Linked DNA regions of Macaca mulatta. The protein of the gene in region 1 purifies or fractionates together with the protein of each later gene. This does not show direct contact. Links are inferred from orthologs where the notes say so. Each region holds a gene or a part of one and is shown on either strand. Other genes may lie near its edges. The genes, in order: AHDC1 and CBX1.

Evidence for each region.
Region 2: the proteins of AHDC1 (region 1) and CBX1 purify together in Homo sapiens (affinity purification with mass spectrometry; 4 studies listed by BioGRID and IntAct, with this or other methods). This does not show direct contact. The link is inferred for Macaca mulatta from reciprocal best matches to the Homo sapiens genes AHDC1 and CBX1.

The regions. Positions count from the first base shown.
Region 1 is NC_133406.1:213,394,848-213,398,655, forward strand, and holds part of AHDC1 (transcription factor Gibbin), read left to right. Parts: intron 1-516; 5' UTR 517-590; coding exon 591-3,808. UniProt on the Homo sapiens protein: Transcription factor required for the proper patterning of the epidermis, which plays a key role in early epithelial morphogenesis. Directly binds promoter and enhancer regions and acts by maintaining local enhancer-promoter chromatin architecture.
Region 2 is NC_133421.1:61,945,523-61,949,330, forward strand, and holds part of CBX1 (chromobox protein homolog 1), read left to right. Parts: intron 1-1,360; coding exon 1,361-1,537; intron 1,538-2,219; coding exon 2,220-2,397; intron 2,398-3,616; coding exon 3,617-3,711; exon of another isoform or gene 3,712-3,808. UniProt on the Homo sapiens protein: Component of heterochromatin. Recognizes and binds histone H3 tails methylated at 'Lys-9', leading to epigenetic repression. Interaction with lamin B receptor (LBR) can contribute to the association of the heterochromatin with the inner nuclear membrane.

The DNA.
Region 1 (3,808 bases):
AGTGAAGCTGGGCCAGGCATGGTGGCTCACGCCTGTAATCCCAGTACTTTGGGAGGCCAAGGCGAGTGGATCATCTGTGGTCAGGAGCTCAAGACCAGCCTGGCCAACATGGTGAAACCCCGACTCTACTAAAATACAAAAATTAGCCAGGCGTGGTGGCGCGTGCCTGTAATCCCAGGTACTAGGGAGGCTGACACCTAAGAATCGCTTGCACTAGGAGGCAGAGGTTGCAGTGAGCTGAGATCACACTACTTCACTCTAGCCTGGGTGACAGAGTGAGACTCTCTTTCAAAAAAAAAAAAAAGTGAAACTGGGGCCCATGAGGGGCTTGCTGTACATATGGTGGTTTGAGAAAGGCTGGGAGTCAGCAAGGGGATTGGGCTTGGGGTGGGGATGGGAGCTTGGTAAGGAGATGAGACCTCAGGAGGGAGGGGTCCAGGAGCTCATCGAGGATATGGGAAGCTGATGAGGATGTAGGTGTTCAGTAAGGGACCTCCTGCTCTTCCTGCCTGGCAGGTCCTGGTCCCGGCTTCTCGCACCCTCATGTCAGCCCCGGCCCCGCCCGGCGGCCTGCGGAGGACAAGGTCAGGATGCGTGTGAAGCCCCAGGGCCTGGTGGTGACTTCCAGTGCCGTGTGCAGCTCTCCTGACTACCTCCGGGAGCCCAAGTACTACCCCGGCGGCCCCCCCACCCCCCGGCCCCTGCTTCCCACCCGGCCCCCTGCCAGCCCACCCGACAAGGCCTTCTCCACCCACGCCTTCTCCGAGAACCCACGCCCACCCCCACGCCGGGACCCCAGCACCCGGCGCCCACCAGTCCTTGCCAAGGGGGACGACCCGCTGCCCCCACGGGCAGCCCGTCCTGTCTCACAGGCCCGCTGCCCCACACCGGCCGGAGACGGCAGCAGCTCCCGACGCTGCTGGGACAACGGGCGGGTGAACCTGCGACCAGTGGTGCAGCTGATTGACATCATGAAGGACCTGACACGCCTCTCCCAGGACCTGCAGCACAGTGGTGTACACCTGGACTGTGGTGGGCTCCGACTGAGCCGCCCGCCTGCACCGCCACCCGGCGACCTACAGTACAGCTTCTTCTCCTCACCCAGTTTGGCCAACAGCATCCGTAGCCCTGAGGAGCGAGCCACCCCACACGCCAAGTCAGAGCGGCCCAGCCACCCCCTCTACGAGCCTGAGCCTGAGCCTAGGGATAGTCCCCAGCCTGGCCAAGGCCATAGTCCTGGAGCCACGGCTGTGGCCACGGGTCTGCCCCCAGAGCCTGAGCCAGACAGCACTGATTACTCAGAACTTGCTGACGCTGACATCCTTAGTGAGCTGGCCTCCCTCACTTGCCCAGAGGCCCAGCTGCTAGAGGCCCAGGCCCTCGAGCCACCATCTCCTGAGCCAGAGCCTCAGCTCCTGGACCCCCAGCCCCGCTTCCTGGACCCGCAGGCACTAGAGCCGCTCGGGGAAGCTCTGGAGCTGCCACCCCTGCAACCTCTTGCTGATCCTCTGGGGCTGCCGGGCCTGGCTCTCCAGGCCCTGGACACCCTGCCTGACTCCTTGGAGTCGCAGCTGCTTGACCCCCAGGCACTCGACCCCCTGCCCAAGCTGCTTGACGTCCCAGGTCGCCGTCTGGAGCCCCAGCAGCCCCTGGGGCACTGCCCACTGGCCGAGCCCTTGCGCCTGGACTTGTGCTCACCGCACGGCCCCCCCGGGCCTGAGGGTCACCCCAAGTACGCCTTGCGGCGTACTGATAGGCCAAAGATCCTGTGTCGCCGGCGGAAAGCCGGACGGGGGCGCAAGGCGGACGCCGGACCTGAGGGCCGCCTACTGCCCCTGCCTATGCCCACGGGGCTGGCAGCCGCCCTGGCCGAACCCCCACCGCCACCGCCGCCTCCACCCCCTGCCCTGCCAGGCCCAGGCCTGGTCTCAGTCCCAGAATTGAAGCCAGAATCTTCCCAGACCCCAGTGGTCTCTACCCGCAAAGGCAAGTGCCGAGGCGTGCGGCGCATGGTGGTGAAGATGGCCAAGATCCCCGTATCGCTCGGGCGACGGAACAAGACCACATACAAAGTGTCTTCCTTGAGCAGCAGCCTGAGTGTGGAGGGCAAGGAGCTAGGCCTGCGTGTGTCAGCTGAGCCCACCCCGCTGCTGAAGATGAAGAACAACGGGCGGAACGTGGTAGTGGTCTTCCCACCCGGTGAGATGCCCATTATTCTTAAGCGTAAGCGCGGCCGCCCTCCTAAGAACCTGCTGCTGGGTCCTGGCAAGCCCAAGGAGCCAGCTGTGGTGGCGGCCGAGGCAGCCACTGTGGCAGCAGCCACCATGGCCATGCCAGAGGTGAAGAAACGACGGCGGCGGAAGCAGAAGCTGGCGTCTCCCCAACCGTCCTATGCGGCAGATGCCAACGACAGCAAGGCTGAGTACTCAGACGTCCTGGCCAAGCTGGCCTTTCTGAACCGCCAGAGCCAGTGCGCTGGACGGTGCTCGCCACCCCGCTGCTGGACACCCAGTGAGCCGGAGTCAGTGCACCAGGCCCCTGACACCCAGAGCATCTCCCACTTCCTGCATCGTGTGCAGGGCTTCCGGCGGCGTGGGGGCAAAGCAGGTGGTTTTGGTGGCCGGGGTGGGGGCCATGCGGCCAAGTCAGCCCGATGCTCCTTCAGTGACTTCTTTGAGGGCATTGGCAAGAAAAAGAAGGTGGTGGCCGTGGCAGCCGCTGGGGTGGGGGGCCCTGGCCTTACCGAGTTGGGGCACCCACGCAAACGGGGCCGGGGGGAGGTAGACGCTGTGACTGGGAAGCCAAAGCGCAAGAGACGGTCCCGGAAGAATGGGACTCTGTTCCCAGAGCAGGTGCCCAGTGGCCCAGGCTTTGGGGAGGCGGGTGCCGAGTGGGCCGGAGATAAGGGTGGTGGCTGGGCCCCTCACCATGGGCACCCAGGCGGGCAAGCTGGCCGAAACTGTGGGTTTCAGGGGACCGAGGCCCGGGCCTTTGCCTCCACTGGGCTGGAGAGCGGAGCCTCAGGCCGTGGCAGCTACTACAGCACGGGCGCACCCTCAGGCCAGACCGAGCTCAGCCAGGAGCGCCAAAACCTCTTCACCGGCTACTTTCGCTCGCTGCTCGATTCGGATGACTCCTCCGATCTCTTGGACTTTGCCCTCTCAGCCTCTCGCCCAGAGTCCCGGAAGGCATCAGGCACCTATGCAGGGCCACCCACCAGCGCCCTACCTGCCCAGCGGGGCCTTGCCACCTTCCCTAGCCGGGGAGCCAAGGCCAGCCCAGTGGCAGTGGGTAGTGGTGGGGCTGGGGCGGACACCTCCTTCCAGCCTGTCCTGCCCACGCGCCAGACCTTCCCACCAGGACGGGCAGCGAGCTATGGGCTAACTCCGGCCACTTCAGACTGCCGGGCAGCGGAGACCTTCCCCAAGCTGGCTCCCCCGCCCTCAGCCGTGGCCCGCTCACCTACCACCCACCCGCCTGCCAACACCTACCTGTCCCAGTATGGCGGCTACGGGGCTGGACAAAGCGTATTTGCCCCGGCTAAACCCTTTACAGGCCAGGACTGCGCTAACAGCAAGGACTGCAGCTTTGCCTATGGCAGTGGCAACAGCCTCCCTGCCTCACCCAGCAGCGCCCACAGCGCCGGCTATGCCCCACCGCCTACCGGGGGCCCCTGCCTGCCACCAAGCAAGGCCTCCTTCTTCAACAGCTCTGAGGGGGCCCCCTTCTCTGGTTCAGCCCCCACGCCCCTGCGCTGTGACAGCCGGGCCAGCACAGTCTCGCCTGGTGGCTACATGGTGCCCAAGGG
Region 2 (3,808 bases), on another chromosome or scaffold:
TGTAATCCCAGCACTTTGGAAGGCCACCATGGGCGAATCACGAAGTCAGGAGTTCAAGACCAGCCTGGCAGCCTGACCAACGTGGTGAAACCCTGTCTTTACTAAAAATACAAAAATTAGCTGGGCATGGTGGCTCACACCTGTAGTCCCAGCTACTCATGAGGCTGAGGCAGGAGAATCACTTGAACCCAGGAGGCGGAGGTTGCAGTGAGCCGAGATTGTGCCATTGCACTCCAGCCTGGGCTGGCGTGAGACTCCGTCTTAAAAGAAAAAAAAAAAAAAAAAAGGGCCGGGCAGGGTCATTCACGCCTCTAATCCCAGCACTTTGGAAGGCCAGGGCAGGCGAATCACGAGGTCAGGAGTCTCACTCTGTTGCCCAGGCTGGAGTACAGTCATGCGATCCTGGCTCATGACTGGCTAATTTTTGTATTTTTAGTAGGGACAGGGTCTTGCCATGTTGGCCAGGCTGGTCTTGAACCCCTGACCTCAGGCCATCTGCCCGCCTCCGCCTCCCAAAGTGCTAGAATTACAGGTGTGAGCCGCTGCGCCCGGCCTTCTTTGAGTTTAATGCAATATTTTAGCTACCATGCTCTTTTACAGATTTTTTGTGTGTGTGGAGATGGGGTCTTGCTATGTTGCCTAGGCTGGTCACACACTCCTGGGCTCCAGGAATTCTCCCACTTCGGCCTTCCAAAATGCTGGGATTGCAGATGTGAGCCTGCATGCGTGGCCCTAGCTACCATGCTTTATGGTAAAAGGAGTATTGGGAGCCTTTTTAAATGACAAAGAATGGGTATAAAAGTTGTAAATGGATACACAAGAATAAAGAAGTTTGCTGTGAAGGCCAGGCGCAGTGGCTCACACCTGTAATTCCAACACTTTGGGAGGCCGAAGCAGGCGGATCACCTGAGGTCAGGAGTTCGAGACCAGCCTGGCCAACATGTAGTGAAGTCCCGTCTCTACTAAAAAAAAACAAATACAAAAATTAGCTGGGCTTGGTGGCACATGCCTGCAGTTCCAGCTGCTTGGGAAGCTGAGGCAGGAGAATCACTTGAACCCAGAAGGCAGAGGTTGCGGTGAGCCGAGATTGTGCCACTGCACTCCAGCCTGTGCAACAAAGCAAGACTCCGTCTCTCAAAAAGAAGTTTCGCTGTAAGATTAATTGGGGCTGTTTTATGAGCTTTCTGACTGCACATATCAGAAAACTATTGTGTATCGAATGTGAGAATAGGCCTCACACTTATTGTAAGCAGCATATAATATTATCACCTGTCATGTCTCTGGTTTTCTTACCATCCAGATATTATCTAACCAATAAGAGTGCTCCCTAATTCCCTTTTTATTTCATTTATCATTTTAGCAGCGTCACCCTTTACACCAGAAAGCTGGCGGGCACTATGGGGAAAAAACAAAACAAGAAGAAAGTGGAGGAGGTGCTAGAAGAGGAGGAAGAGGAATATGTGGTGGAAAAAGTTCTCGACCGTCGAGTGGTAAAGGGCAAAGTGGAGTACCTCCTAAAATGGAAGGGGTTCTCAGAGTAAGTTTCACTGACACAAGTAAATGTAGCCACCAGGTGTTTATCAGGAGTCTAGAGATGTATGAGACCTCCAGTGCTGTGATGGAAACTGTGTGACTCAGTCCCCACCTTCATGGCTTATTGTTTAATTAGGAACATGGCCTACTGCTTGTTATACAGAGCAGAATGACTTCTTTTTTAAAGTTCTTTCTTTTGAGACAAGGTCTCGCTCTGTCACCCAGGCTGGAGTACAGTGGTGCAGTCATAGCTCGCTGCAGCCTCAACCTCCCAGGCTCAAGGTATCCTCCCACCTCAGCCTTCTAAGTAGCTAGTACCACAGGCATGCACCACCATGTCTCACTTAGTTGCCCAGGTTTGTCTAACTCCTGGCCTCAAGCAGTCCTCCCACCTGGGCCTCCCAAAGTGTTGGGACTACAGGCGTGAGCCACTGTACCCAGCCCATAGTGATTTCTGAGAAATATTGTGTGTGGCTATAGACCGATTTAAATTGACAAATAAAAGTCATTTGCCTTTGAAGGAAGCCAGTTTCTTAGCTTTCTATTTATACTAGAAAGCCTCCCCATTCCCCAAGAAATTTCAGCTTTTCCATGGACGTCTGAGCTCTTGTCCTCTTACGATTATCCTTAGTATGATTATACTTATTTTGAGTGAAAGTGTGACTTGCTGTGCCCTCTGGTTTCAGTGAGGACAACACATGGGAGCCAGAAGAAAACCTGGATTGCCCCGACCTCATTGCTGAGTTTCTGCAGTCACAGAAAACAGCACATGAGACAGATAAATCAGAGGGAGGCAAGCGCAAAGCTGATTCTGATTCTGAAGATAAGGGAGAGGAGAGCAAACCAAAGAAGAAGAAAGAAGAGGTAAGGATAGAAGTAAGAATTTTTACTGGCCCACAATTCAAACCACTGTCAAAGTAGTTTTGTTTTGCTTCTTCCCAGATATTAGCAGCCATCTCTTCTTAGTTCTGACATCTTAGGTAGGCTAATGCCTACAAAGTGAGAGTGTACTCTCATGAAGCCACATGATCTCTTACTTTTTTGTTTGTTTGTTTGTTTGAGACGGAGTCTCGCTCTGTCGCCCAGGCTGGAGTGCAGTGGCCGGATCTCAGCTCACTGCAAGCTCCACCTCCTGGGTTTACGCCATTCTCCTGCCTCAGCCTCCCGAGTAGCTGGGACTACAGGCGCCCGCCACCTCGCCCAGCTAGTTTTTTTGTACTTTTTAGTAGAGACGGGGTTTCACCGTGTTCGCCAGGATGGTCTCGATCTCCTGACCTCATGATCCGCCCGTCTCGGCCTCCCAAAGTGCTGGGATTACAGGCTTGAGCCACTGCGCCCAGCCAGTCTCTTACTTTTTATCCATGGTACAGGAGCAGTAAATGGGATACTTGCTGGGGACAGATAAAAGGGCAAGTGAATTCATTCTTGTAAAAAACGGTTTTCAATGTTTAATCATTAAAGGTGTGAGGTAGCTATTTTGACTTAATCAGTACGTACCTTAAAGTAAGTTGTTTTTTGAGAGTGAAGAGATAGGTGTAAACATTGATTTTGCTTGGGCTGTATGTCCCTTTTCACATATGGGAAAATCTCATGCGCTTCAGACATTGATGAATAATCACTCCAAAGAATTCTAACAGCTCTCTTACTTTGAGCCAAGGTATTGGTGAAATATTGGCAAAAAAGTTTGTGTTTGGGCCGGGCACAGTGGCTCACACCTATAATCCCAGCCCCTTGGGAGGCTGAGGCGGGCGAATCACAAGGTCAGGAGATTAAGACCATCCTGACTAAATGGTGAATCCCCGTCTCTACTAAAAATACAAAAAATTAGCCAGGTGTGGTGGCATGCGCCTGTGGTCCCAGCTCCTCAGGAGGCTGAGGCAGGAGAATTACTTGAACCCAGGAGGCAGAGGCTGCAGTGAGCTGAGATCGCACCACTGCACTCCATCCTGGGCAACAGAGATTCCGTCTCAAAAAAAAAAAGAGAAGAGTTTATGATTACATTAATCAGAGACACAGGAATAGTTCCAAGTCTAGATAATAGTCCCATATAGATAAAATTGTTCTACCAATCTTGTTTTTACAGTCAGAAAAGCCACGAGGCTTTGCTCGAGGTTTGGAGCCGGAGCGGATTATTGGAGCTACAGACTCCAGTGGAGAGCTCATGTTCCTGATGAAATGGTGAGTCGGCCAGTGGCTTTGTGTGGTTGTTTTTTTTCTTCTCCCATTGGTTTCATGCCAGAGGAAAAGAGCTGGACCTTCGAAATTCCAATCACCC